Notamacropus eugenii: one gene and its partners. The protein of the gene in region 2 purifies or fractionates together with the protein of the main gene of each other region. This does not show direct contact. Links are inferred from orthologs where the notes say so. Each region holds a gene or a part of one and is shown on either strand. Other genes may lie near its edges. The genes, in order: FOXM1, OTUB1, UBE2E3 and ubiquitin-conjugating enzyme E2 E1.

Region 1 (7,219 bases), on a different chromosome or scaffold from region 2:
CTGTCTCCACTATGCCTTGCTGCTTCTGGTGGGCATTTTCTTGATATAATAATCCCAGGGAATAGAAAATTCAAATGAAAGTTGTTACAATAAGCTTTCAGTCTCAAGAGAGTATTAAAGAAAGGAAAAAATGTAGATTTTTATTTATTGTAGCCTGGCACTGTGGGAAAATGATGGATTTGAAGTCAAGACAGCTTGGATTTGAATTCTGTTTCTGCTATTCTTTAATTATATGACCTTAGGAAAATCATAACCTCAGAGAATCTCAGACAGTTGAAAGGCACCCCAGAGGCCATCTAATCCAACCCATACCTCATCCAATAACATATTGGACAAGAGGTCATCCAACCTTTACTTGTAGATTTCCACTGAGGAAGAACCACTACCTTGTAAGGCTTGTCAGGAAGTGTTTACTTTTATAGTCTAAAATTGCCTCCTTGAAATTTCTGTCAATTAATTATTATTAGTTCTGTGTTCAGAAGCAAACTCTGAAGTCTAATTTCTCTTCTACCTGACAGACCTTCAAGTACTATTGATGGGGTGGTGGGACCTGGACCCCCAAAAGCCCTAAGACATCACGCCTAAGCAACTCTGAATCCCAGACCCTCACCCCCATAAGAAAATTCTCCCCTTGTTACAGAACACATGTCCTTAGATAAAGGACAAACACAGGGGTGCCTGCCCCAAGGATTTTTGTGCCTTGCTGGCCCAAGGACTCTCCCTCAAACCAGATTGCCAAGGTCCAAGTCTCTGGCAGCTAAACTATCTTTCTTCCTCAATGTCTGATATCAGCAAAGTTGTCTCTGCTGACTCCTTGACTTTTCCCATTCATAAATCATTGACGGCTGCTCCCAGACACCTGGACTCCTTGAATTACTTAATAAATAAGCATTCTTAACATTCCTTTACCTGCCCCTTTTCTATATAAGCTTTAGATTCAACCCCATTAAGTTGCAAGTTCCCCAAAGGAACTTCACCTGCTACTATTGGAGTTACAATAAAACTTTTGCCTCTTGACTAATAGAAAACTTGAGTGTGAATTCATTGCAGGCAACTCTGACTTGGCATTCTCAGGGTAGCAGCACCTCAAACCTCTTCACTATCATGTGCCCCTAAGTTTTCTCTTCTCTCAACTAAATATATCCAGTTCTTCACTTGTCCTTATGTCGCATCGCTTCAACATTTCGATTCTCTTCACCATTCTGGCTCATAGTTCCACCTCATTGGGGTGGATACTAAATATAGCTCCTAGAACTAACCATGATGTTTTCTGATCAGAACCTCTGAGCCTCAGGCTATATTCATCTGTAAAATGATAAAGCTAATCTCTAAGGTTCCTTTCAGCTCTCAATCTATGAACCCATAGCAACGCTAGTATTACAGAGTTGTATGCTTTCATTTTTTAAAGTATCTGATACCAACTACTTCATTTAATTTGTAGAACATCTCTGCAGGGTACCTATTAGCTGCATTTTAAATGAGGAAAATTAAGTATAGAGAAATGACTTGTCCAATTTCTACAAGTTAATGGCAGTCAGGACTAGAATTCAGGTTTCTGATGCTATGGTAGCTGTGTAAAGCTGGAGGAAGGAAACAAATCTTTGGCTTGGGACCTTCAAATACTTATTTGAGAAGACATCCCTCAAATGTACATCATTCTGTTAGAAAGTGTCATCCTGGGAATCAGAGGAATTCTTTTTCCTAGGTCCCTGCTATACAATTTGGGGAATCACAATTCCTAACCATGTCATAGGTATTTGGTAAGATGACCTGGGCCTCCCTTGAGCTCTTCCTACCTCTTAATTCTTGGGTCTAAGTTCTCACCTCTTTAAGTTCCTGCAATTTTATCTTGTCTCCATCTCTCTTAAGTTTGACCCTTTACTGCCATCCCCTCCCCCCAAAACCTTCAAATCCTGCTTCCTTTTTTTCAGTATATCCTTTCCCAAAAGCAAGTCTTCCTGCTCTCTCCCACTCCTAACACTAGCTCAGTTATGTATTTGACTGCACCTACACGGCCCAGGGTTAAAACATTAAAGGGGATACATAACAGAGGAAACACAATTTAGCTCTCACCTTCAAGGAATGTCAAATTTAATAATGCACATTTACCAGTAATGATAATACAGGGTCTAAGGTGCATAATAAACATTAAACAAAACGCTGAGTGGTTTCACCATCCAAGGTCCTTTGCAAAAAGCCTTTCACTACCCCACACTGAACAGAGGAGGGCACGACACCGCCAGCAAGGGGGGTCGAGAGATTCCTGGGGTTACAGATTGGGTCCCTGGGCCCAACCTGCTGCTGAATTCCGCAGGAGGCTGGGGCTGCACCGGCATTATGCGGCCGGGCCGTGATCCGGCCCGCAGTGGAGGGGGCCCCGGTGGCCCGTCCCGAGGTGCTGTCAGGTCCGGCCGCACCGTCTGCAGCCGCGGCACCTCGAGGACTCCCTCCTGCGGGTCACTCACTCCCTGATCAAGACTCCGAGGTCGGGGCCCGGCGGTCGCTGCGGAGCTGGGATCCAAGCTCCGGCCCGCGACCCTCTCTCCGGGGCTCCCCGCGTCGGCCCAGGAGCTGGGCATTGGAGGGGGCCCATTTTAAGGAGGACGGCTGCGGAGACCTGCTCCTTTCCCGGTCCGGGGCTCCCACCCCGCCCGGGCTCTCTAGGGCCCTCCCGGGGAGGGAGGCAGGCTGGGGACCCCCGCCACCCGAGACTCTCACCTCAGCACTGCGGCCGCTGTCTCCACCACCGCCCCAAGGTAGGCCTGCAGGGGTCGGGTTTCCCTTCAGCCTCAGCCCGCCGGGGCTGAGCCAGGGTCCAGGAGCAGGCCCAGGGCCGCTAGGGGCCGGGTCGGCCAGGTCCCCGGCCGCGGGGGGGAGGGGTGGGGTCGCCGGGAGGGGGGGAGGGGGAGGAGGGGGATAAGGGGCTTTCAGTTTGTTCCGCGGTTTGAAATTGGCGCCGGCGGAGCGTTGCCGGTCACGTGACGCGGGCGCCGCCAATCGGGACCGAGCGTCGTTTAAGCATTCGGGGCCGGAACTCTGCCCGGCCTGTCAAGGGGCCGGGGCCTGGGGGCAGAGGGGCCGGAGCCTCCCGAGTGAGGGAGGGGGAGGACGAGGGAAGGGGCCGGATACAGCTGAGCCGGGCAGCTGAGAGTGGGTCGGGCGGACTTCCGGGGCTGGCTGAGGGGGCAGGGACGCGGGGAGGCGGCGCCAGGAGTCCGCTCCCCCGGAACCCCCTTTCTCATGCTCGAGCTTTTGTTCCAGGTGCTTTCTTCCTTGGAGGACTTGCACTCACCCAGTGTAAGTGACCCCACTGCCTCCCACCCCCACCCCTTCTCAGAGCAGCACCTCCCTTTTCCTGCAGCGCTGAGCCTGGTACATAGTAGGCGCCTAATCTATGCTGTTGCCTTGAGTCCCTCCTGCATTTTCAGGTTGGTGGTTCTGGGACGTAAATAGCAGCCTCCCTTTCCCGCTGAGAGCGATGATTAGTCTGGCCCAGCGTGGTGGGCTTTGCTGCCCCGGGCAGTGATCGGTTTTCTCTGTCTGCTTGTTTTGTTGTCTGATCTCTAGGCATGGGTGAGGATCCTTGCTCATCTCCCCGACGTATTTCCCCAGGCAACATGAGGCTACTCACGGTCCTTCCCTCCTCGACTGTTGATGCCTCCCAGGAAGAAACCCAAAAGTCAGTCCCGGAAACCACAACTGGCATTCCGAGAGGGGCCTCTGGAGGGTCCCATGCATCCCTATGGATCCCCACAGCCAGCCGCAGCCCTCCCAAGGCATGCTCGGGTCAAACCAGTAGATCACCAGACCATCACCTCTTGGGTAGGACCAGCGAGTTCTTACACTGGGTGCTTTGGGTACGAGGTGACTCATATTGTGGGTACTGTCTTTGACCCACATCAGGAGGAAGGTCACTCACCCACTTAGTGGTACACAGGAGCAAGAGGCCCTAATTCCTAAACCATAACTCCTCAACCAACTGCTCTTCCCCTAAGTTGTAAAAATGGGCAGTTGCTGAGAGAAGAGCTAGATAACTGGGGGCTGATCAGGAAATAGCCAATCAGAGGGAGAATTGTTGACATTTAGACTGGCTTTACTTTGCCCTGCTATTCTTTTTAAAGAGCAGTGACTACAGTGGGGAATTTTGGGACATTGTGTTCATTTTCTTGCTGGAAGGTCTCATCCTTCCCTCCCTACCGTTCATTCATCCCCCTCCCCCCCCCCCCAAAAGACTAAAGAGTAGTCTGAAGATTCAGTAATAATGTGCTTTTGCTTTGGTGTTCCCTTGTTACTGTTGACCTTTAGTGGCTGGCCTGATAAATCAAGACCTTACCTACACCAATTAGCCAATAATACCTTCAGGAACACTTGAACCCACCTTTTTCCTTTTCTCTCTCCCAACCACTGATTCAGTCAATCAGCAGGCATTTGTTAATAGCTTTTATTAAGTGACAGGCACAGGGGATACAAATACAATTAATTGAACAATTCCTATTTGAGAAGTTGTTTATATTCCAAAAGATAAGACAATATGTACATACATATATGTGTTCATATCTTTCTAAACATACATATGCATTCACATGTATGGATATGTAGAATACAAAGTAGTTAAAGACTAGTAGTTTAGTAGGGAGGGCATTAGCATTAGTAGGGGGATTTGTACATGTACAAGGTGGTGCTTGGGCTGTGTCTTAAAAGAAGAGAGATTCTAAGAGAACAGATATGAAGAGGAATTACATTCAAGGCATGGGGGCAGCCATGGAAAAGCATAGAGATAGGAGATTGTCTTGTGTGAGGAACAGAGGAAAGGTCAGTTTTGACTGGACTGTGGGAGGGGGAGTGTTCACTGAGGCTGGAAAGATAGTTTGGGTTCAGGTTGTGAATGGCTTTAAAAGGTAAAGTTAATATTTTATCTTAGGGGCCATAGGGACTTGCTAGATAGAGTTTACTGAGTAGGAGAGTGACAAGGACAGAAACAAGATTCTGAGCATTCTTAAAAATGCAGGGTCTGATGATAAAAGTAGCGGCATGATATAGAGAAGAGAAATGTATTTTTCTTTGGTCCCAGATACTGTATGTTCTTCTTTAGATACATTGTTTACTATCTAATAGCCTGCTATAAAGTAACACCACACACTGGAAAGTTTTAACATTCTGAAGACTCCAGCTGAAAGAGTTTTGGATTATGTTGTGAGAAAGAAGTAGAAGTTAAGAGCAGGGGCCAATTTTGGACTTCAGCTTCTGCTTAAAGAGTGCTTTAAAAAATGACTTGTTAGAAGTTGTTGGAAAAGCAATAATCCATACTCCAGGAATAGGGTAGATACCTAATAAAAATAACTCACAAAGTTTTATATAGTGTTTTTCTCATAAAAATCCTATAACTTCATAGCAGGTTTCAAACCCAAAGCTCCTGATTCCAAGTCTGGTGCTCATGCCTGTAGAAAATGAGCTCATTTTAATGTGGATAGGCTCTCATTTTAGAAAACTTGAGCATTATATCTGTGGCTTCTTGAATGGAGATGAAGTAATTTCCAGCAATGTTTGTGGTTCTGGGCTGACAGCTTCTGTTTGTTTCTTAGGTGTCTCCTCAATTTGAGAAAACAGGAGACTGGTTGCCAGTCTACCAAAAACAACATCAGGTGCCTTACAATCTTCAGAACCTGGCAAAAGTTTCTCGAAAAGCAACCAAGAAGAGGTTTCCACCTCTGTCCTTTGAGAGTTCAGTGTCTTCTTCCAGTGAAGCTGCTTTGGACAATCTCTCAGTTATGGACTTCCCTATACAGTGTCCAAAAGACACTGCCAGAAAGTCCTTGGTTCCTCTATTGAGTCCTCAAAGCTGTGCGGAATTGTCCTCTCATGACCTTCAAAATTCAGGTTACATGGTTATCCCACCTGATATCCAGACCCCAGAACAGTCCCCTGTGAAGGACAGTGGGCATATTCCCACAGACCAGAGGCAGCATATGAGAAAGAGCTGCCCTCTCCTAATGGATCCTCCCAAGAGCCCAGACCCTGGCCCTGTACTGGTTGCAGACACACCAGAGGAGAAATATGGGCTGAAGGTAACTTGGAGAAGACGGTATCAACTTCTTACTTACCTCAGGGAGAAGGGGAAATTGAGCATGAGCCAGTTTCTTGTGAAGACATGAGTGGAACCTTGAAATACTGATTCCTTTTTACCAATAACTTGGATCCAGAAGGGCAGAAATTTACATTGCCCCATGGATGGTTTTTATAGTGCTGCTAAATCCAATTTCTGGCCCTTGAAGAGATTAAATCAATAGACTCAAGTGTCATTTAGAACCTTTGTGGTCCTTCCTGTTGATTTAATAGGGAACCAAAAGCACCAGAATGATTATGTGAACTAAAGCTGAAGTTCCATAATCTGTTTTTTGGTATTGCTAGTTACTGGCATAGTATACACAGACCATTCTTTTTATATTTTTCCTCCTGATATTTATCCAGTTTAAAGGTAATTCATAGCAGATAGAAGGGAAATGGTTATACAATATTTCTAACAAATTGTAAATATGCACTTAAGGGTGGGAAGATAACTTTTAGAAAATATTAAAAATGTTTACAAATAAATGCAGAAAACTGTTAGTGAATGCTGCCTCTTTTGTTTGTAGTAGGCCAGTATTTCATACTTAACCAAATGCCTCCACTCATTAGGTGGCATAAGTGCCTGAAGAAAGGAAAGCCCCTAGCTGGTCAGGAGAGGGCAAGTTTGGGGTTCTTCTGATAGACTGAAGAGCTCAAGGTAGTCTAGGGCAGGTCTAAGACTGAGCAAAGAAAATTCTATAAATGACCAGAGGAAGAGCAGGTTTAGGGCGGATGGAAGGGAAGGGAATAAGCATTTATGAAATGCCTAATATATGTGCCAAGTGCTAAGCAGTAGGACTTAATCGTGTTCCAGTTTTCCAGGGTAGCGAGATTTCAAGAAAGTGTTATTTCTTCTTGTGCAAAGAAAGCTTTGCACAAGGAATATCCTTTGTCAGACAACTACTCTCATTTTGAAAGAGGAGAAGACAGGGGATATGGGTTTAATTTACAAACATTCTCTCATTTGAACCTCAAAACAACTCTTGGAGGTAAGTGTGCTATTATTCCTGTGTTACAGTTGGAGACACTGAGGTGAACAGGTTAGGTGACTTGCCCAGGGTCTCAGAGCTGTCACAAGCGTCTGAAGGCACGTTTGAACTCTGAGCTTCTAGAT
Region 2 (7,282 bases):
CTGTGTTGGCCGGGGGCTCCTGCCCTGTGGCCTCTCCCAGGGACTGAGCTGGTGCTTGGATGTTGGGGGGCTGTCTACCTTGTCATACTACAGGCTGGGAGGTTTGGTCAGGGCAGAGCAGACAGGTGGAATGGATATAAAGAGGGAGAAAAAGATGGAGGCCAGTAGGGAATAACCTTATTTCACTGCTTTCTCTCACTTCAGGAGGATCCTTTTTTTTAGAAGTGGTGGTGGTAGCTAAGGTTGAACCCCTTGTTTGACTATTTCTGGGCTTTCCCCCATCACCCCAGTGGCTCCACCCCATTTCCCTGGGCTTCCTCCAAGACGGGGCCTTCTCCTTCTGACCCATGACTGGCTTTCCTTTTTCACAGATGCTGCCTTTGTGAGCAGGAGGGGGGCATTCCACCCTGAGCTTTGGGGCACAGGAGTCTGAGAGTCACTGGGAAATCATCCTGGGGCTTTATCAGGCACCCTTCCTGGGCAGATCAGGAGCAAGCACTTGCCCTCCCTTCCCTACAGCAGGGCCTAGCCTGCAGATCTGGGCTCTCAGTCGAGAGCTGGGGGAGGATGGGTGGTATCCTTTTGGGATGGTGCCACCTTCCTCTTGCAGAGCACTGGCTCTCACCTGTCTTCCCAGAAGATCATATGGGGAGGGGGGAATCTGAGCCCTGGTGTTGGTCTCATAGCCATGCTCCTGATGCTGAGCAAGGATGTGCCAAGCAGAGGCTGACCTTGCGGGTTTCCCTGGTAACTGCCACCCTCCCAAGGCTGGTCTTCCGTGCTGCTCACTATAGCCTGCTAGGGGTAGGGGGAGGTCGCTTCTCATTGGCATGGGGTGGTAAGGGGGAAATTGTGTTGCTTGGGGCATCTGGCATTGAGCTTGAGGTGGGCAGCAGCCACGGCCTTCAGAATTGCTTCAGACTGTGTTGGGGATGGAAGCTGGCAACTGGAAGTGAGGGGGGTGGTTCCTCAGTCCTGTGGGCAGTGCATGTGGCAGCAGGTGTGTGCGTGGGGGTAGAAGGGAGAATCGGGGGCCATGACCTGGCATTTTCAGGCTTTGTATCCCCTCATCCCAGGGGAAGCTGACTTGGATTGAAATCACAGGGTTGCGCCCCCATCTCAGCTTTCCCAGGGCAAGCTTGAGGGATGAGAGGCTCCTCACTAATTCCTCACAGGAGTAAATGAAGACCTATTGCTCCTTGATCTTGTGAGAGTCCTGGCAAAACTTGCAGGCTGCCCCTGGAACGTGGCTCTTTGAATTGGGAGTGGGGTATTTTTGCCCCTTATGGGTTGCTGAGTGCTCCAGTACTCTGACTTAACTAGAAGGCTTGAAGTAGAGACACTGCTGAGTCTCCTCTGACATCAGAGCTGCCCTGGTTCACTTGGTCCGTGACTCTGAGCCTGTAGATAATCGGAAATACTTCCAAAGGTTTGGGAACACCTGACTGGTAAGACTCCAGGGCCTGCCTGGTGGCAATCGAGGCTCCCCATCACCCTGTCCAGCAGCCCCTTCCCTTGTAGGAGAGCTGTGGTCCCCCTCCCAGGAGGACTGGCTGCCTCCTCTGGCCCACATTATATGTCTGACCTGGGGAAGAGTCAAGGCATGTCCCCATCACGCCCTCCCCTAGCCCCTTTGCCTTTGTGGCCATCTTGGGCCATTGCTTCAAGCTCTGCCTGCCAGCCAGCTCTTGCAGCAGCAGGGCTGAAAGGATCTCAGAGATGCCCAGAAGGACCCTGTGTGAGGGCAGAGCCTGCCCTGGCTGTCCTGAGCACAAGCTGGGCTACCCATGCTTCTGGCCTGGCACTGCTGCCAAACCGGGGTCTGGCCTGGAGTTTGTCCATTAAATGTAGACTAAAAATGGCCAAGCAGAGCATGGGGTCCCTGTAAGAATACAGTCTGGCAGTGGGACCCACAGAAAGGAGAAACTGGCTGTGTGTGAGGCCCAGACAGTCTTGCTGCTCTGCCTGGGTACCACACCCACTGACACAGCCCTGGGGATGCTCAGTGGATGTCTGAAGGAGGAGGAGGGGGCAGCAGTGCATGTGCCTAGCTGGAGGCAGGGGGAAGCAGTATCTCAGGCCCCTGGCTCACTCCAAAGGAGGGTCTCATCTGGATTTACAATGCAGGTCACCACCTCACCAGATTACATTCTACGAGCCTTTCAGGTGACCCAGACATCTGTCTGCCCTGAGCCACAGCCAGGCCAAAGCAGGGATCTTCACCTGGACTTGGGGTTTCACCAACATGGGGGGTTACTTTTCAGCCAGTGAGAATTCCTGAAGCGTTAAAGTTTCCTAACTGAAGTAGTCATTAGGCTTTGATTCCCAGACATGCCACCAGCACTGTCTGAGATGCTAAAGGAGAAGAGGAGATTCCCTTTAACCTCTAACCAGGCTGGGGGAAGGGAGGCTTCTGGTATCAGTCCCAGCTCCAACATTCTATGTTTGAGAGGTTCCCAGGAGCTCAGTTTCCCATTTGTAAAATGGGAGTGTAAGGTAGATTATGGCTAAAGTCCCTTTCAGCTATGGAATATGGGAGAAACGTTTTAGGTGGTAGGAGTGGGGAAAGGAATCGAGAGGTCTGAAGTAATAACCATAGACTCGACTAGTGGGATGGGTTTGTCTCTGGCCCTGGGGCCTGGAGCTGTGATGGACGTAGCCTCTAGGCTCCTGAATTCTTCACTTCGATTTTATGGTCCACTGTCTCATGTCTGAACATGGTACAAGGTGAACATGGCAAAAGGCCTCCAGGGGACCCTCAGAGTTCTAGGCTTAGCCCTGTGCTGCTAAACATTCTGGGCAATGACCTGGATGAAAGCATAGGTGGAATGTTTATGAGATGTGTAGATGGCGCACCATCTACACATGGATGGGACACCTAACACTCTGGATCCTAACGGGGCAGAGCACTGGAAACAGGATAATTTTAAACGGAGGATGAATAAATGTCAAGCCTTACCCTTGAGGTCCAACAACCAACAGCCTGAGTCTGAGGTGATGAAAGCATCGCCCAGTGAGACCGCCACCAGTCTGAAGGTCTAGAAACTTGTTGTGAAAGGTCAATACAAGTGAGCAGTGGGAAATGGCAGCCAAAGCCTTGTGGCCATGTCAAAGGCTCCAGTTTCCAGGGAGAAGGCCATAAGTCACTGCATGCCCAGCTCTGACCAGACAACATCAGGAGGAGGAAGATGCTCAGTCCTGGGAGCCACAACTTAAGAAGGTGATAGATGAGCTAGGGAAAGGGGTAGCAAGGATGGTGTCCCATGAGCATAAATGGAAGGAACTGGAGATTTGGAGCCTGGAGAGAAGACTTAGGTAATATGGTGCCTCTGTTCAAGTATTTGAAGAATTATCAGGTGGAACAGGGTTGGACCCAGAGGGCAGAATCTGGGGCATGTTGCCAAGAGGTCAGGTTAGACTTGATATTAGGAAAAAAGCTTCCTAATCATGAGAGCTGTTCAGAGTGTCACAGGCTGCCTTGGAGGTAGACTGCAGTGGGGTACAGGAGGGAGGGAGTTCCCCCTCACTGGAAATCTGGAGGACTCATCAGAGGCTAGGTTATAATGGGGACACCCTTCAGTTATAAGCCGGATGTCCCTTCAGCTCTACATTTTGTTAAAGTAGCATGCTGACATCCTCCCTTGGAGTCTTTACAGGAAAAAGAGTGGAATTCAGAGCTTCCAGTTTGTCTCCTTGGGCAAATCACTTACCCATCCAATATCTCATTTTGCTCATCTGTAAAACAAGGAGACAAGCTCCGAGGCCTCTCCCAGGCCTCCGGCTTTGGTCCTAGGATAAGAAGGTGGCATCAAGGTGGCCCTGGGGTGAAAATGGGCAGCCGGGGAGGCCTGCTGGGCATCTTTTTACCAAGTTCCACTGCCCTGAGACTTAAGCGCCTACTCTGCGTGGCGCCTCTTGTGCTGGGTGCATGCGCCTCGGACCCTTCTGGCCCCTGGCCCTGGGCACTCTCTGCGGCAGCTGGGCTAGCTGGCGACTCCTGGGCCGCAGGGTTCCTTCCCGCAGGCACCAAGGGGTCCGAGGGGGAGGGCCTGGGTGAGCTGCAGGCGTCCCTCTGCCTCGGTGCTCCCATCTCCACAATGGCGGGCCTCCGGACCTCAGTTCCCTCATCCGCAAGCCCACGGTGCTGGGCTGGAGGACGTCCAGGGTCCCTTCCCGCTGCAGCTTCTGGGCTCCATCTCCCGACGCCTCATCCCTAGCTTCCCGCTGACTGGGCGGCCCACAAGGGAGGGCGGGGTGGGGCGGGGCTTCTGGTTGCTATGGGCGTTGCTATGGAGCTCGGAGTCCGGGGCAGGCGGGCGGACGTTCACTTCCGGGAGGAGAGGCGCTAATAACCCGGAAGTGGTCGTGGGTGCGGCGCTGTTTAAAGATGGCGGCGGAGGAACCTCAGCAGCAGAAGCCGGAGCCGCTGGGAAGCGACTCGGAAGGTAGCGGCCGCGGGGGCGGAGGTGGGGGCCGGGAGCCCCCGGGGAGGGCGGGCGATGCGCGGCCCGGCCATTACGGAGGGGGCTGCGGCCGGGGGCCCTAGAGCGGAGCCGAGGCGCGCGGGCTCCATCGCTTCCCCCCCACGTACAGGGGAAGCAGCCGCCGCCTGAGACCCCCCCCACCCCCACCCCCGGCCTCGCGGGCGGGGGCGGAGGGGGAGGGGCGGCAGCGGGGCGCAGGCACGTGAGCGCGCCTGAGGGGCGAGCGCGCCTGCGCACGGCGCGGCCGAGGGGGAGGGGGGCGCGCCCAGTGCCAGACCGAGGCTGCCGCGGCCTCGCGACCGCCCCTCGCGCGCACCTGCGCCCACGCCCGCGCGCGCCTCCCTCCGGCTCCCGTAGGGCGGGGACGCTGGGCCAGGGGGCGGGGCCTCCTTCTCCACGCCCCGCCCCCTGGGCCCTCCCCCTCACACCCCCAAGGCGGACGCTCAGAGAATCTTGGATTTCCTCCCCCCGCGCCTCATCTCCCCGACCCCTCGCTTTCATCCGGCCCCTCCCCCATCCCATGACCTCACGGCTCCCCTTCTCCGCAGGGGTGCCGCCCGCGGCCCCCCGCACCCTCCATCCCTCTGGGTGGGTCCGGCCGGCTCGGGCTCTGGGGCACCGCCTCCCCCGGCCTGTGTGGGGGGCGCTCCCTGAGGCCCAGCCCCGCCGTCACCTGGAGCGGCCCTTGCCCCCGGAGGGGCGGAGATGACGAGTCAGCGGCGGGGCTGGGCCTCGAGCCCGGGATGGGCCCAGACCCGCTTCTGGGCCTGACCCAGGTGCCTGCGCAGAGCAGCGGCCGGCGGGCCTCCCATCTGCTCTTTCCTTCCCCCAGGAGTTAACTGTTTGGCCTACGATGAAGCCATCATGGCCCAGCAGGACCGAATTCAGCAAGAGGTGAGGGGAGGAGGGGCCCGGGGAGCCCCGAGGGCCGGCTTGGCCTGGTCTCCCCCGGGGAAGGACGGGGCCTTAGCGAGGCGGCCGCTTGCCCCGGTCGTTGTCCTGGGAGTTGGGGGGTCTGGAGTTGTGTGGGCGATCCCCCCAGCACGTCTTTGAGAGCTGGCCAGCTGCTGATCTGCGCGGGCCTAGGGACTGATCTTTCCAGGAGAATCCCAGGCTTGGAGGATGACAAGGAAGCATTTCTGAACCCGAGGCCCCCCTTGTTGTTCTTTGGGGCTTGGCTCCTTGGTCCCCGGATCACTTGTCCAGCCTTTGGTTTGGGGAGCAGCTCCTCTGGCCCTGCCTTCTGAGACTGGCCGAGGGATACAGGAGAACCAGGGCTTTTCTGAAAGCAGACCAAGGTCCTGCCAGGCGTCCACAGGCTCCTGTGCTCCTAGTTGGGGATTGGGGTGGACGCAGATATTTTCCTGGACCTGTCAAGTTGCTGCTCCTGTCCCTTCCTTCCCTCCTCCTTGCAGATTGCTGTTCAGAATCCACTGGTCTCCGAGCGCCTGGAGCTCTCTGTGCTTTACAAGGAGTATGCGGAAGATGACAATATCTATCAACAGAAGATCAAGGTCGGGGCTCCTAGACCCCCCTCCCCGCAGTAGGGGGATGAGGGAACCTTCTGATTCCACCTGAGAGCCGGGGCTTCTGAAAGTGGACGGGGAAAGGCCCTTTGTAGTATTTAGTGTTGGGTTCTACAGGTACTTAGTAGGAATTAGAGAAGAATTGGTTATTGAATCACTTTATAGGCCAGGAATTGACTTCTGCTATCACCTGGTGTGTGCAGAAGTCTCCTTTCAGCCCAGCCCTCTGGGGACTTGGCCCACCTTGTCCCAGGTACATCATTGGGGGTAGCCATGGCCTTTCTTCTCACGAGGCCAGAGTGGTTAGGGAGCCCCACATTCAAGTGCTGTTAGTGAGAACAGTTTCTGCCTCCATTTCTCCAACACCATTCCTTGCTAAAAGAACATCCCGTTTCTCCACTGATCCTTCTCTGTCCCGCCCATCTCGAAGTTCTCCGCAGGCCATGCCAGTGTACAGAAGGGAAAGCTGCCCATCTTCACCTTGGCCTTCAGTGCCTTCTCCATTATCTCCACAGGACCTACACAAAAAATACTCCTACATCCGAAAGACCAGGCCGGATGGCAACTGCTTCTACCGAGCCTTCGGGTTCTCCCACCTGGAGGCCCTTCTGGAAGACAGCAAGGAACTGCAGAGGTATGCCCCAGGGCATCTGCAGGGTCCCCTTTCCTGAAGCCCGTTGCAGGCCGAGCCCTCCGCAGTGAGCATGGCTGTCCCATCCTGTCCTGTCTTAGTCTTACAGAGCACTTCCTTGACAACAGCACTGGCAAGTAGGCAGTACAAACAGCCTCCTCACTTTGCAGTTAAAGAAACAGGCTTCAATTACAACTAGTCTGGGGCGCCATAGTCAGAGATGTCAAACTTAGGGGTCCCAGCTGGGGTGTCTTCACCTCAGATCCTAGTCGTCTTTCCATCTGCCCTTTGAGGAGCCCCCAACCCTTCTGGGCAGCCCGTGCCATCTCTGTCTCATTGGTGGCTCCCATTGGCCGCCTCTTTCCCCTTCCTCCTTTCAGTGGCTTTGCCTTCTTTCCGGCAGGTTCAAAGCCATCTCTGCCAAGAGCAAAGAGGACCTGGTGTCTCAGGGCTTCACCGAGTTCACAATTGAGGATTTCCACAACACGGTGAGCTGGACCCTCACACTGGTGAACTCAGATGGGGAGGCCTCGGGGCCAGGCGGGGTAACTGACAGCTGCCCTCTCCCTCCCTCTGGACAGTTCATGGACCTGATAGAGCAAGTGGAGAAGCAGACCTCTGTGGCTGAACTGCTGGCTTCC
Region 3 (7,432 bases), on a different chromosome or scaffold from region 2:
CACCTCTCATAGGTATTACCTTTTAGCACTAGTAGATAACTTAGCAGTGGTTTTGCTAGAGAGTTTGGTGTTCTTTTTCTGCTGGGTGGCAGATGGTTTTCTTTCTTCTTGTTCCTCAGGTTCTGGTGCTGCTGGGTCCCTCTGATCTGCATCTGAACTGCCACTGCTGGTACTTGGACTTTCATCATCTGACCTTTGCCTATCACTGGACATCTTGGTCAAGTTATTTCTCTGAAAACTTTTAAAAAAAAGAAAAGAAAAAAGGGCGTTAAACCTGAAGAACAAATTCCACATCATTCCTTTCTGCAAAATATTTCCTAAAATCTGTCTTTTAAATGATAAGCCTTTTAAAGTGTCTATACACTTATCTCATTGTTACTGCAAGGTTACAGAGGGAGGTGATGTATGTACCAGAATGCCAATATTTAAAGATTTACAGAACTCAACTTGGAAAACCCACTCAGAATTTTTTTCGTCCCTTGGACAATCTATCAATTGTCTACTTTCTCAGAAGGCACGAAACAGATCTGCCAGGGAACTTAAGCAATGAACATTAATAACATCTGACACATTGTAAATAACAGACCTCGCTGAAAAATGTTACAAAGTTACTAATAACGTCTAAATATTTACACATTTACGTGGGTCAGAGCTACCAAATTCCCTCTCTGAAGGAAAAACACGTCCTGCTAATCACCCCTATGCTTCCTAAACGTGGCAACAACCCCTTTCTCTTGGCACTTAAGCCTTTAAGCGCTGTACCTCCCCCCCTTCCCCAAGGAAAAAAGGGGGGGAGGCTAAAAAGCAGCCTCCTTGGTTGGCACGGCCAGCAGCAAAGATTCATTTGGCCACCACAGGGCTGCTCCACAGCGAAAAGCAAAATTCAAACTGCACCTTCTGCAAAGCTCCCAACGCCACCGTTCCTGGCTCGGTTTTGATATTACAGACCGACATTTTGGCCAAAAAAAAAAAAAGCCCCCCCGCCCCCAAAAGAACTCCGAACAGAATTTGCAAAAGAGAGAAAAAGAAAAGCTTTCGATAGGAAATTGCAGCGGCGGCGGCGGCGGCAATGCAGCTTTGCAGCCCCCTTTGTGGGGAGGGACGGGGAGAGGGTTTGTTATGGTAGGAGGCAGCGCTCCAATATCAGCGTGGTGTGTGCACCAAGTGATGCGTGAAGTCAGTCCTGGCTCCTCGGGCTCCCGGAGACCGGCAGGGCGAGCGCCGAAAACAAGAACAAAGCTCCCTCGGCCCCCCTCCCCCTCCCCCCCCACCAACCAACCCCAGCTCGCCCCGGCGGCGGCGGCGGCTCCTGCTGCTGCTGCTGCTGCGGCTGCCGCGGCTGCTGCTGCTGCTCCTGCCGCCGCCGCCGCCGCCGCTGCAAGCCGCCCCCCCCACCCCTCACCGCCCCCCCCAAAAAAACCCTTCCAGCTTTACCTTCACCGCCGTTCTGCCCCGCTTACACGCAGCTGAGATGTGGGGGAGGGAGAGAAAAAAAACCCTTCCTTAAGGAAATGGAAGCAGCCGGGAGGGGGGAAGGGGGGGGGAGGAAAAAAAAGAAGCAGAGGAGGCTCTGGCCGGGGAGTGTGGAACATTGAAAGTCGTAGGGGGTTGTGTAGTGCGGCGCTCTGGCCGGAGGGTGGCGCCGCCCAGCGCCTTTGCAAAAAAAAAAAAAAAAAAAAAGAGGGAGAGAAAAGAAAACGGGGGTGGGGTGGGGGTGGGGTGGGGGACGGAACGGGGAAGAGGAGGAGGAGGAGGAGGAGGAGGAGGAGGAGGCGCCGCTGCTGTGTGAGGGCGCGAGCTCCCCGGGAGCCCAGATGGAACGGGGGAGATCCGAGAGTTCTACGGCCTCCCCTGTCCCCGCTCGCCTCCCGATCGGTGCAGTCAGCAAGTTCCCTGCGAGCTGGGAGGGAAGGGGAGGGGGAGGGGAGGGGGGAGGAGGAGGCGGCGCGCGTGCTCGCTTGCCTGGCTGTGGGGCGCGCGCCGGCAGCCCGGGCTGGCTCCCTCCCGTCGTTCGCTCGCTCGCTCTCTCTCTCTCCCTCTCTCGCTTTCTCGCTCGCTCGCTCTCCCGCCCCCCCCGCGCTTCCCTTCACCCGGGGGGCGCACGCGTCTGCCCGCCTGGGCCGGCCAAGGACAAAGAGTGCGCCGCCCGCCGGGGACAGGGGCGGACTGGCCCGGAGGAATGCGCCGGGCCGGCCAGCCAGCCAGCCCCGGGGAGGGCGGGGGCACCCGCCCGAGGGGCCAGAGGGCCGATTTTGCAGCAGGGTGGTTTCCGGCCTGCACCGCTCCACTCTCCCTGCCCCACCGCCCTTCCCTGAGCTACCCACTGGGCTACCCACCCGTCGGTTCTGCACGGGGGAGGAGGAGGAGGGAGCTCGCCGTCTGGTGCACCTCGGCAGCGCCAGCAGGGAGGGTCACCCCCAAAGGCTCTCCTCCCCCGCCTGGCACCCTTCCCCCAGTGCGGGAGGAGGCGGCGGTGGCTCTGGATACTAAAGGGTTGGGTGTGGGGGGAGGGTGGATCCTCAGGGCCCAGGATCTCGGCCCTGCCACCCCAGACCTGTAGTTGCTGTCGAAGGCCACCTCGCCGCCTCCCTCCTGCCCGGGAAGATGGATTGATATTTACCGAGGAGTCCAGGGACCGGGGAAGAGCCATCTTCCCTTCCCTGCAGTCCGAGTGGGCAGGGACGGAGGGGACTGGGGGCTTGGGAAGGACGGTCCTGGGCACCGGGGGCAGGGAAGGATCTCAGGGGGCTTGGTGACCCCGGCGCCTTCTCCGCCCTTGCCCTTAACAGCGCTCCCCCACGGGATGGGGTTCCGGAGGCCCTGGAAACTTAAAAGGGGGAATAACAAATTTTAAATGTCCCGCTCGCGCTGGAAAGGGGCGCGACCGCAGCACTTTGTGCAGCGCGAGGCTGGCATGCAGGCAGGACCCCGGCCCTGGACACATGCACCTCGCTGGCAGCGCGAGTCAGGCTGAGCCCCAAACTCAAGATTCCTTCTCTCTCCCCCACCCTCCCAGTACTTCGGATTAACCGTTCCTTTTTGGTCTCCTGGCAGGCGGCCCCAGGCCCAATCACAAGGTGGCCAGAAATACAAAAACTTCCTGTTTACAGCCCAGACCTGCCCCTGCTACTGAGCAGCCCTGGTTCTAGGGATGGAGCCCGAGAGGGATTTGTGGATTCCACTTACACAGATGTTGGCAAAAGAGAAAAAGAGATCCGAGTCCTGACAGTGTGGGAAGTTCAACGGAAAGTACATCAAAAAGGGAAATGTGCCCCCATACTGGGCTGATTTTTTTCTCCCCAAATAGAAAGGTTTTTGTGAGAGGTTTCCCCAAGTAGATCTGATCAGTAAATAACATTCGTGTATTTACTGAAGGACGCAAGTTGGAGAAAAAAGGTATTTCTGGGAAAATGGACTTTGACCCTTGCTAGGAGTTTGGACTTTGTTCTGGCAGCAGTGGGGAGCCATGGAAGGTTTTTGTGCAGGGGAGTGGGTTGATAAAGTGCGCTTTATTTAAGCAAGATGAACGGGAGAGAGAAAGGCAGAAACACCACTAGCAAGGAGACCACTTGGGGGTTGTCTGGCTGTGAATTGTTAAAGCCCTGGAGTTAGATGGTAATAGTCAATGGAAAGATGTAGAAAGTTGTGAAGAAAGACTCAGGAGGATTTGGTGACTGGTTATAGAGGAGGATAAGGGAAAGAGAAGAATGTAAGATGATTCAGGTTTTGTACCTGGGAGATAGAAATAGAGCAGGCAAGTAAAGAACTTGGTTTTGAGGAGAAAAGATAAATTCATAGCGACAAAATTTTATAGCACAAAGAGGCTTAGAGGTCTGGAAAGGACATCATTTGGAGCCATTAAGACTTGGACTCAATTTTGCCATTTACTATACTAGCTCTGTGACCTTAGGCAAGTCACTAAACTTGTGAGTCTTAGTTTTCTGCCTCCATCTGTGAATTTATTTAAATATATATGGGTTTTAAATCAGTAATTCCTATTCTGTTTACCTTAATTAAATTAGTTTACCAATGTGAAAATATGAAAACACTTTATACATTTTAAAGGGATATACAATTCACTATAAGGTGGTACTGTGATTATCACCTCCCTCATTTTACAGATTTGGACCCAAAGTTCTAGCTAATGATTAAGTGAAAAGAACAGTAAACCATTAAGTTAGGTGACCCAAATTCTAGTCTTTGCTTCATCTGACACTAACTAAAGGTAAATGACAAGTAAATCATCTTTTTCAGTCTCAGCTTCTTGGTCTGTAAAATCGACTGGCATCTAAAGTCACTTCCAGCTCTTGTCTGTGTTATGTACGCAAAATAAGTTGTCTTGAACTTTCTCCTCTTTTGTTAAAATGTAAGCTCCTTGAGGGTAGGGACTTTAATTTTTTTTTGTAGTTCCCTTTATAAATGAATTCACATATCCAGTCCCTATCCCTAACCTAAAGAGGGCTTCCCATGTAATCAGCACTTGATAAGTGAATATCTGTTGATTTACTTTTTGTTTCTCCTATCATTCCTCCAGCCTGAAATGTGAACACTTTTTCAGATTTCACTTATTCTTCAAGATCCAGTCAAAATCACATCTTTTTTAAAAACTTAGATCCATGATGTCCTCTTCTGAACTCCTAGCGCACTTAATCCTTATCCTATTCATCCAGAAATTAGTCATGTAGTTCCTTTTGATGATTTTAAAAATATTTTTCTTACTTTCTTTTCATTTCCCCCCTCTGTTTAAACATTTCAAATATCTCTACCTTATATCTCCAACCAGCCTGTTAACTCCTGGAAAACAAGGACCTCAGACTTGATATCCCAAAAAAGGATTAGGATAGTGCTCAATAAATGTTTGTTGATTGATTCCTTTTGTTGATTTCAGCTGTTTTCTTTCTTTTCAAGTGCCCCCCAAGCTCTCTCAGTATTCCTTTAACTCCCTGCTTGCTCTTTATTTTTCTTCTTTCTTTCTCTTTTCCCTTTCTTTCCATCCTCCCTCCCTTCTTTCTTACTTCTTCCCTTCCTTTCCTTCCTTCTTTCCTCCCTTCTTATTTCCTTCTTTCCTTCCTTCCTTCCTTCTTTCCTTCCTTCCTTCTTTCCTTCCTTCCTGTTTAGTTTTTGGGAGCAACATGATGCTTTGCAGATAGTACTAGACTAGAAATTAAGTTACCTGAATTCTAGTTAGTAGCAGAGTTAGAACTGTGTGACGTTGGACAAGGCCCTTCATTTCTCTGGGCCTCTATTTTCTTGTTTGCACAATAAGAACATTGGACTTATTAATTAAAATCCTGGCCAGCTCCGAAATATTGTGATATAGGTATCCATTTACCTATACCCATACTTCTCTATGCTATCAAGGCTTTACCAATAAAATGGGAAAAGAGAAATTTTATCCATCAATAGAACTGAACTGGTTCACTAGGAAGACATATTTTTTTTTTTTTTGCAGGGGGTAAGAAGGGGGTTGCTTCAGGGTTTTTTTAAAATCATTTTCGCTCATTTTTATCTGAAGTGGTGAGCAGCTCATTTCAGTTTTCCCCCACAATAGGGAACTTAAGGATATTTTCTGGAAGAACAACACCTCTCCTTTTTCAGACAGTTTTGAAAAAGAGTGGATGAAGTGGATACTGTCTCTAGTTCCCTCCTGGTCCTGGGATGACTTCCGTCTTGGAGGATTTTGATACAAAATTAAAAAGTCTCTTTTTTTTTTAACATCAGTGATGCTACTAAACAGTGTTATTGAAGTTGTTGGAGGTATTGTTCCACATTAAACATTCTATTACACAGTTCTGATCATGGCACTGCCAACTGAATACAGTCTATTCTTGGCATTTAAAGTCTTCCACAATCTGACTCTAACCTACCCCTCCAAGTTTGTCTCACATTAGTGCTTCACATATTTCCCCTCCAGATTATTCAACATTTCCTAAAATCATACCCTGCTCTCCTCATCTGTGCTATTGTTTATGGGTTTTCCTGATATAAATCAGAATGGTTAAAGAACCTAAAATTAATGCCGTATGAAGAACAGTTGAAGGAACTGGGGATGTTCAGCCTGGAAAAGAGAATATTTGGACTTGAAGTGGGATTGGTGAAGAAACATGACTGCTGGCTTCAAGTGTTTGAAGAGATGTCATATAGAAAGGGGACTAGACTTCTCTTTAGCTCCAGAGAGAGAATCTAGAACAATAGTTGGAAATTGCAAGGAGGTCAATTTAATCTTGATGGAAGGGGAAAAAAATCAATCAGAGCTATACAAAAGTGGAATGGGCTGCTTTGGATTATCAGGTGTATTATAGTGAGGATCTTTTTTTCAGGTATAGGTTGAATTAGTCCTTTCCAATTCTGAAACTAATTCTCTAAACTGGCTTTCAATGAAGGGAGAGATAATATAAAACAAGTTGAAAGTACTAACTGTTCCCAGATAAAGATACCAACCCCAGTACACATAAGATTTGTCTTTTTCCACTTGAAAATGGACAATGTGGCTTGAGCCACATTGTTTTGGATCTCTCTCTCTGTCTCATCCACCCTCCCTCCATTCCCTACCCTCCTCTAACTTAATTGAGTACTGGTAGATTCAAATGTGTAGCCTAGATACATTTGTTTGAATAGTAAAGATCTGCATTTCCAGATCAAAAAGGCAAACATTAGTGGCATTCTTATTCAGTTTCTCGCCCTCCCAAGTAGTCCTCTGTTTGAGGCTCAGAAAAAAATGGATAACAAAAAGACATTTTCCAGAGGATGGCTCCTACAGCTTTTCAAGAGGACACAGGAAAAGTGAGATTTTTACCAACCAAATAGTCTTTGCGCATATACGTTTTGGACATTAACTTTTTCTTCTGTATTCCTTCACGTTTGTCTAAATTAAGGTTACCCAATAAGAAATAATACATGTGCATCCAGAGTTTTGAATTAATTTGATTGGTATTCAGTCTTGTGGAAAAGATTGCAGACCCGAAGCCATTAAAGAAAAAGAAAGAAACTGAATTACCACAAGATGGATTGGAGAATTTTATTATGGCTGAAAAACTAGCTGATTGAAAGCAAAGGTTAAAAATAAATAGGTCTTTCTTGGACAGACAAGTGTTAAAAATGGGTACTTCAGGGATCTCCACGAGGAAGAGTCTTTTTTAACCTTTTTGAAAGTATTCTAGAAGAGGGCATATACAGTAAAATTTCAAAGTACAAATTATATTAGCCCTTCTAGGTAGTAAAATCCCTGGTGAACTAGGATAAAGTAAAGAGGTCATCAGCCTATGCAAGCTAGTGAAAAATGGCAAATGAGCTTCATTGTGGGTAAATGTATACAGAAAAATAAATCTAACCTGCATTTAAGTGATAGCCCTGGGCCTGCAAGGTATAACCTTAAATTCAGAAGAACTGAGTTCAACTTTTGGTTCTGCCAGTAACTGTAACTGTATAACTT
Region 4 (7,315 bases), on a different chromosome or scaffold from region 2:
CCCAAAAAAAGTTGACTAAAGGTTACATACTTCACTTTCTCTTTCTAGGAAAGACTTTTGGACCTGTCCCATCCTGACTCTCCCACCACCATACCATTACCACCCTGGGGTTATTTATGAAGAAATAAAGTGAAAACTTGAGGACAGAATTTGGAAATTATTTGAACCCCCAATTTCAATTGCCTGAGGTCACTTCCACCATCCTCAAAAAATGTAATGATCTTTAAACATATCTTCTCAATTTCTGACATCTGTTTTTTCTCAAAATTCCTGCCACCATCAGCTGTGTTATATCTCTGGCCGTAATACTGGACTGAAAAGCTCTGAATGTACTGAGCAAGTAAGCAAGGAACCAAGATTTTTGGATTCCCCTCTATTTACACTCAATGTAATATTTTCTGTCTATATACAGAAATGCCTTTCTCTCTAGTTCAACACACTTGGAAATCCTTATTAGCTTTTCCCCTGCCAGCCCAATTTTAGCTAACATCACAGACTAGACAGTTGTTGCTTTTAAGAATAAAAAGCAGTCAACTGTTTATCCTCTGCATCTCTGAGACATACATTCACATCACCCACCTCCTACTCGGCAAAGTGTTTGCCAAAGCTGCTTTCACACACATCTATTTGGGCATCAAACTCTTATCTACGACCACTTGCGATCTGGGCTTTCAGGAAAAAACCACTGTCCAACAACATGTGGTTATCAGTCTTTGCTCTGCTCACCAAGGCTCTCTCTCTCTCCCATCCCTAAGGAGAAAACTCCACCTTTCTGAAATGTCTCTGAAATGCTTCCTGAGTTAGGAAAACACGGGTTCCTGTCCAGTTTCTGATACATCCTGGCTATGTGAGTATGGGTGAGCCATTTGAACCCCCCAACATCCTGGAGCAACCCTCTTACACTTTAGACTGCCAAAGAGTTACCATTTCTCTGAATGCCCTTGGCAGGAACTCCACGGACCAAAGAAATCACAAATCCAGGACTCCCCCCTCCAAAAAATGCCAGACACGTTGCTGGACCACTTCCTTTCCCCCTTCTCAAGTCACCTCATTTTCCTATCATTCCCAAGTAAAGGAGCTTGCTCAACTTTCTTCCCTCAAAGGAACCAATTCTGTCTCCTAAGAAAACAACCACAGCCTATCTGCTCTGAAATTCACTGACCCTAAATGCAGCCCTGCCAGCATCTGTCACACTTGCCTCAGCCCACTATTTATCCTTGTATAGTAGGGATGCTTACCCAAGTACAAAATGAGGAAGCAAATATGCAGAGACACAGCCCTCCCCATTCCTGAAGGTCCACTTCTGCCTTAGTCAAAAAAAATGCAAGTGACCCCATGGCATCCCTTGAAAATCCATCTCACAGGTTCAGGGCAATCAATCCTATGTGCTCCCCACATCCCACTCCACCTTGGGCCCTGCTCCTAACCAGACCAGACCAAAAGGAGAGCCCTGGGGATTAGGATTCAGAAGCACCTGGCAAAAGGCAAACTTGCTCAGGTGTACATGGCCACCACCAAGTGCTCATACTGCCTATATTTTCACATGTACTAACTCTCTGGATCCTCACAATCACCCCTTGTGGGAAAAAGGGCAGATATTATCCCCATTTTAGTGCCCAGGAAACAGGCTCAGAGAAGTTTTGTCACTGCCCAAAGGATCAAGCCAGCTGAGGACTGCTGGCCTTCTTTTTATCTGTCTCCACCACCTACTGTTGGGGTGACCATAGCTTCCTAGATCCCAATTATCCCAGATTCCAGCCAGTGAAGAACACCACAATAATGAATTCTCAAACAAATCACCTCTTTCCTAGAGAAATCAAAGATCAAACAGCCCATCTTATATTTAATTTTCTCTAAAGGACTCACCCTAGTCCAACCAGGACACATCTCCCTCCTGTCCTCCCTGTGGTCAGTTCAATGTCTAATAACTGCCTACATCAGAGTCCACCCCTTTACAACTGACTTGGATTAGAAATATTTCCCAGAGTGTTCTCTGAGGGCTCCCGCTGATCGGAAAAGGAGAATTAAAAGATCCTATTAATGAACGATGGGAGACAGGGCCATGCTAAGAGGGGGACAATGTAAGAACTATATGGAGAGGAAGGGATTTTCACTCAAGGTAAACCACCGAAGGAAAGAAACTGTTTTAAGGCTTTGGAGCAGGAAGGACAGGATGGCCAAGGAAAAAGTTGAAAGGCTTTCCCCGAAAGGCAAAGAGCTGAGAGTTCTGCACAAAACAAAAGGGGGGGAAGGTTCTGGACAACGCGGCAAAGCCCCCTTTGGAATTCCAAGAGCGAGTACCTTCTCCCGTCCTTTCTCAAGTCTGTGCCCCTCTGGCTAGTGCCAGTGCCTCGTCACGCAGGATGTGGGCACCTACCCTGCCACGCAACAGGTGAGAAGGCAGGAAGCCCACGGCGCTGCGGGCGGCCACGAGGCTGGCCGGACGTCTGTCGGGGGGACGTCTGTCGGGGGGACGTCTGTCGGGGGGAGGTCTGTCCGGGGGACGTCTGTCCTGAGGACGTCTGTCCTGAGAACGTCTGTCGGGGGGACGTCTGTCCTGGGGACGTCTGTCCTGAGAACGTCTGTCGGGGGGACGTCTGTCCTGGGGACGTCTGTCCGGAGGCCCCGGCGGAGGGCGCTGGGGGGGGGCCGGGGCAGGTACCGGGGAGCCTGACGGCAGGCCAGCAGGCCGGCGGGGCGGGCGGGGGGCGGGGCGGGGGGCTGGCCGCGGCTGCGGGCCGGGGGGGGGGGGTGCGGGCGGGGGGCCGCGGGCAGGGGGGGCCGCGGGGGCACCCACCTCTTGGCGCTGGTGGAGAGGAGCTTGGAGTTCTTGCTCATGCTGACCTTGCTCTCCTTCTTCCTGGGGGCGGCCGCGCTCTCCTTCTCAGTCTGTTGGTTGGAAGATGAGGATGAGGAGGAACTGGTGCTGGCTCTCGAATCGTCATCCGACATAGCGAACCCCCCACCCCCACCCCCCACAATCCCTGCGGGAGACAGAAAACACAGACCATCCGGTGAGTAGCCGAGGGGCGCCCGGGGGGCGGGGAGGGGCTCAGCCGGCCCCCCCGGCTCGTTTGCCTGGGGGGGCCCGGGCCGCACGCCGCTCCCTCGCTAGGCCCGGGGAGAGGGGGCTTTAAAGGGCTGGCCCGGCAGGGGACGAGCAGGATGGAGGAGAAGGGGAGGGGGTCCCCGCTACGGAAACGGCGCTCATGGGGCCGGGGGGGGGGCGGCCGGAGCGCCCCGGGTGGGGGAGGGGGAAGGAGCAGCCGGGCCGGCTCGGGACCGGGCTCGAAACCCCCCGGTGGAACCCCGCAAACTGCGCCCCCGCCCCCGGGGCCACCCCGAGGCCGGGGGCCGGGCCGGGCCGCGGCGCGGGGAGGGGCTCCCGGGCCGGGCCGCGGGGGGCTCCCGGGCCGGGCCCGTACCTCGCTCGCTCCCCGGCTCGCTCGCTCGCTCTTTGTGTCGGCCGCCGCTCCTCCTCCGCCCGCCGCCGCCGCTCCGCCCGCCGCTCCGCCCGCTGCTCCCGCCGCTGCTGCCGCTGCTCGGGCCGCCGGGGCTGCGGCGGCGGCGGCTGGGCCTGGCCACTCGTGTCTCTCGCTCGCTCGCTGGCACCGAAGCGGAAGTGCTGCAACAGCAACTATTAAACAGGCAATGGCTTCCCTCGGCCACACTCGCGCACACTCACACTCACGCGCGCGCGGCCCCGCACGGCCCTCCTCCGGGCGAGCCCCCCCGCCCGACGGGGGCGGCCGCGGCGCACGTGGGAGCGCCTCCCCGACGGGGGCCCCGCGGCCGGGAGCAGCAGCGCCGGGCGCTCCGGGGGGACAGGGGGCCGCAGCGCCTGGGGGGTGGGGGCGGAGGGGGGCCGCAGCTTCGGGGGGGCAGAGGGGGGCCGCAGCGCCTGGGGGGGCGGGGGCGGGGGCGGGTGGGGGCCGCCGCGCCGGGGGGTGGGGGCGGAGGGGGGCCGCAGCGTCTGGGGGGGCGGGGGCGGGTGGGGGCCGCAGCGCCTGGGGGGGCGGGGGGGCCCGTAGCGCTGGGGGGGCGGGGGGCAGAGGGGGCCGCAGCGCCCGGGGGGGCGGGGGGCAGAGGGGGCCGCAGCTTCGAGGGGCCTCAGCGCTGGAGGGGCCGGGGGCAGAGGGGGCCGCAGCGCCCGGGGGGGCTGGGGGCGGGAGGGGGGCCGCAGCGCCCGGGGGGGCCGGGGGCGGGAGGGGGGCCGCAGCGCCCGGGGGGGCGGGGGGCAGAGGGGGGCCGCAGCTTCGGGGGGGCAGAGGGGGCCGCAGCGCTGGAGGGGCCGGGGGCAGAGGGGGCCGCAGCGCCCGGGGGGGGCGGGGGGCAGAGGGGGCCGCAGCGCCCGGCGCTCCGGGGTCACAGCGGGCCGGGGGGCCGGTACGAGGGGGCGCCCGAAAGGCCGGGGGAGCGAGCCCCGCGCCGGGCACGGCCCAGCCCCGAGGGCCGTTTACCCAAACAGCGGCCCCGACCCTCCCTCTGGTCCGGTCCGCTCCGGGGCCCCTTGGGTGCTTCCACAAACGGCAGTTAAGCCATCCCGGGGCATCTCTGAACACCAGCCATCTGTGGGGGTCCCTCCCGAAGGCGCCAGCCCCAGTCCAGTGGGGTGACCAGCCCCCCACCCTGCCCCCCCCTTTCCAAACAACCCCAGCCTTGCTCAGCCCTCACCAGGAAACTCGCCCGAGATCCCCTCCGGCTGACTTGGACCTCGGGGAGGTCAGTCCAGTTCAGTCTCCCACCTCCAGGCGCTGCCTAACCCAGGACAGGGATGTAAGCCAGTGCATCCTGACAGTCCCTGATGATGCAGCTTCGGGGAAGTTCTCTGAAACAGCCCTTGGAGAGCCTGAAGAAAATAACATTCCCTGGAAGAAGAAAAATAAAGACTTGAACGTGACAAAATAAAGTGCTTTGTTGTTTAAAAAAAGAAGAAAAACGACAAAACCCACTTTAGGAACAGTGAGTAGAGACCAGGCCCGGTGGACCTGCGTTCAAATGCTGCCTCTCACAGGCAGAGGCCAAGGCGCTTGACCTCAAAGTGTGCTAGGCCAGAGGCCCACGTTTCTCTCTGTTGCCAAACCAGATTCAAACATAATTGGAAAATATTTGACGAAATACAAATACAGTAAAACAGATAATATTAACATGTGGTTTTCTAAGTCCCTCTGAGAAGCACAGGGATTCTTAGGTGTGCTTTAGGGGCCCCCTGTTTCTATGTGAGTTGGATACCACTATTCCTGGCAGCTCTCTAAGACTATTAAGTTTCAGAGAAGATGCTGGCCTGCTTTGGTGGAGAGACTTTCTCATGCAGGAATCCCTCTGTCAAGGAAAGTACTGATCCCTCTGTGTGGGTGTGCTTGCCATGACAATAAAGCATGTTCCACTGTTGGTTTCTGAGTTACCCTGACCTACAGAGCAAAGAGACAGTGCCTAAGGTCTCTCTACAGTTTGAAGTCTCCTCCTCCTCTGGGGTCCAGAGGCTCCCTCTGACAAGGCCCTCCGTGCCTTTTGCTTCCTCTTTCTCACCTATGATTCACTTCAGCTCCTGGTGGTCTGAGCCATTGGATTGCAATGGCCTTTGCAAGGTCATCCATGAGCTACTGCTAAACTCAGTGAATGATCTTTCTTCATCCTTACCATTTTTGACTTCTCAGAAAGGATTTGTCAAGGGTTGATGTCTCCCTCCTTCAGAAAACGCTTTCTTCCCTGGGTTTTGTGGTTTTCTTCCTACCTTTTTGGTCATCCTACTCAGGTCTCCTCTGCAGCATCATCTATGCTTCCCCAGCATCCACCCATGCCTAAATGTACCCCCAGGGCTGTGCCCTGTGTCCTCTCCTCTTTCCTCTACACTCCCATCCCATCCAGATGAATCTCATATATACATATCCTGCGGTCATTCCTCTCCTGAGTTCCAATCCAGCATCTCCAACTGTTTGCTGGATATCTTCATCTGGTTGTGCCATAGGCATATTTCATAATCAACAGATTCAAAACAAAACTCGTCTTTCCCCCCAGTCCCTTCCCTTCTCTTATATTCCCTGTGTGCTATTGAATGTACAACCCTTTATCTCTTCATCCAGGTTCTCTTCCAATCCCCATCTCCTCAGTTGTACTGCCAGTTGTCCAGGGCCATCCGTCCCTTTCCTTCTATTCCCATCACAGCCCCCGGCTCCTAGATAACCTCCAGGGTCTCTTAATTAGTCTCCCTGAACCCATCCTTCCCTCTCTAATCCTTCCCACAGCTGTGGAACTGATAATCCTAAAACACAGATCTAACCTATTCGTTCCATTACAGGGCTTCAAAGGCTTCCTATTGCCCCTGGGATAAAATGCAGACCCCTCTATTTGGCCTTGAAAACCCCTCCCTTTCTGAATCCAGCGATCTCTGTGGGCTCATTATCTGATGTGTTCTAGGTAAACTGGCCTGCTTAGTTAGCCGTTGCATTGGATCTAGTCCTAAGCCTTACCCTGGCTTCCCACACCTCTATCCTCCATCCCTGAAAAGCTCTCTCTCCTCACTTCTGCCTCTCTGATTCCCTAGCTGCCCTCAAGGCTCATATCCAGTGCTGCCATATCTAGATAGGAGAGGCCTATCATGATTTTACAATTCTTAAAAAACCTCCCCAAACTATTTTGTATGTATCTATGTAGTTATTTATGTAGTATGGATGTCACATTTTTAATTTATCTGTGTACATATAACATCTCAGTAGAATGTAAACTCCTTGAGGATGGAGCCATCTCATGTTTGTCTTTGTATCTCTAGCACCTGGCACGCAGTTGGTGATTAATAAATGCTTGCTGAATTCTCTATTCCCCACATTTCAAAGATTTCTGCCTTTTCTCTATGTATTCCTTCTCATAAAACTAACCTTGGTTGATTATTGTGGTTTCAGGATGGCATATTGAATTCAATAAAGATGAAATTATTGAGGAAACCCAAAATTCAAGAGATCTGGCAAAAGAATCTTCTCAAATTACAATTCATTTGTAAGGTGTATTATTTGAAGTAAGCTATTATCTCAGGTAGAAAGAATAAAAGACATACTTTATAACTACCCCTTCCCCTTCCAGCACTATAGAGACCCCCATCCCTGCCTAGCTAGCCTTCATCCAGAGCTGACCCTAGGATGAGGGACAGGAACTTGTCCCAAGGCCTTGAAATTTACAGGACAATGATAGTGCTTGTAGCACTTTAGCAAAGTGCCCCCCCCCACTCCCCAATTTAGCACCTATTGACCAAGAACTATTCTCATTGAAATAGGAAGCCACTTCCTTCCCACCTACCTGTCCTCCAAAGGATCTTTTCCCA

What was found.
Region 1: the proteins of OTUB1 (region 2) and FOXM1 purify together in Homo sapiens (affinity purification with western blotting; 4 studies listed by BioGRID, with this or other methods). This does not show direct contact. The link is inferred for Notamacropus eugenii from reciprocal best matches to the Homo sapiens genes OTUB1 and FOXM1.
Region 3: the proteins of OTUB1 (region 2) and UBE2E3 purify together in Homo sapiens (affinity purification with mass spectrometry; 3 studies listed by BioGRID and IntAct, counting the BioPlex papers as one, with this or other methods). This does not show direct contact. The link is inferred for Notamacropus eugenii from reciprocal best matches to the Homo sapiens genes OTUB1 and UBE2E3.
Region 4: the proteins of OTUB1 (region 2) and ubiquitin-conjugating enzyme E2 E1 purify together in Homo sapiens (affinity purification with mass spectrometry; 4 studies listed by BioGRID and IntAct, with this or other methods). This does not show direct contact. The link is inferred for Notamacropus eugenii from reciprocal best matches to the Homo sapiens genes OTUB1 and UBE2E1.

Annotation. Positions count from the first base shown.
Region 1 is NC_092874.1:202,997,880-203,005,098, reverse strand, and holds the start of FOXM1 (forkhead box protein M1), read right to left. Parts: upstream 3,016-7,219; 5' UTR 2,719-3,015; intron 1-2,718. Other genes in the region: RHNO1 (RAD9, HUS1, RAD1-interacting nuclear orphan protein 1), read left to right, coding at 3,655-3,822, 5,583-6,152. UniProt on the Homo sapiens protein: Transcription factor regulating the expression of cell cycle genes essential for DNA replication and mitosis. Plays a role in the control of cell proliferation. Also plays a role in DNA break repair, participating in the DNA damage checkpoint response.
Region 2 is NC_092873.1:16,814,525-16,821,806, forward strand, and holds the start of OTUB1 (ubiquitin thioesterase OTUB1), read left to right. Parts: upstream 1-4,267; 5' UTR 4,268-4,387; coding exon 4,388-4,445; intron 4,446-5,316; coding exon 5,317-5,378; intron 5,379-5,899; coding exon 5,900-5,998; intron 5,999-6,525; coding exon 6,526-6,644; intron 6,645-7,044; coding exon 7,045-7,129; intron 7,130-7,222; coding exon 7,223-7,282. UniProt on the Homo sapiens protein: Hydrolase that can specifically remove 'Lys-48'-linked conjugated ubiquitin from proteins and plays an important regulatory role at the level of protein turnover by preventing degradation.
Region 3 is NC_092876.1:244,823,810-244,831,241, reverse strand, and holds the start of UBE2E3 (ubiquitin-conjugating enzyme E2 E3), read right to left. Parts: upstream 3,015-7,432; 5' UTR 2,621-3,014; intron 2,524-2,620; exon of another isoform or gene 2,337-2,523; intron 2,330-2,336; exon of another isoform or gene 1,963-2,329; intron 1,927-1,962; exon of another isoform or gene 1,435-1,926; intron 1,393-1,434; exon of another isoform or gene 1,280-1,392; intron 1,261-1,279; exon of another isoform or gene 895-1,260; intron 872-894; exon of another isoform or gene 634-871; intron 239-633; 5' UTR 214-238; coding exon 20-213; intron 1-19. UniProt on the Homo sapiens protein: Accepts ubiquitin from the E1 complex and catalyzes its covalent attachment to other proteins. In vitro catalyzes 'Lys-11'- and 'Lys-48'-, as well as 'Lys-63'-linked polyubiquitination.
Region 4 is NC_092874.1:30,659,732-30,667,046, forward strand, and holds the start of ubiquitin-conjugating enzyme E2 E1, read right to left. Parts: upstream 3,015-7,315; 5' UTR 2,953-3,014; coding exon 2,798-2,952; intron 1-2,797. UniProt on the Homo sapiens protein: Accepts ubiquitin from the E1 complex and catalyzes its covalent attachment to other proteins. Catalyzes the covalent attachment of ISG15 to other proteins. Mediates the selective degradation of short-lived and abnormal proteins.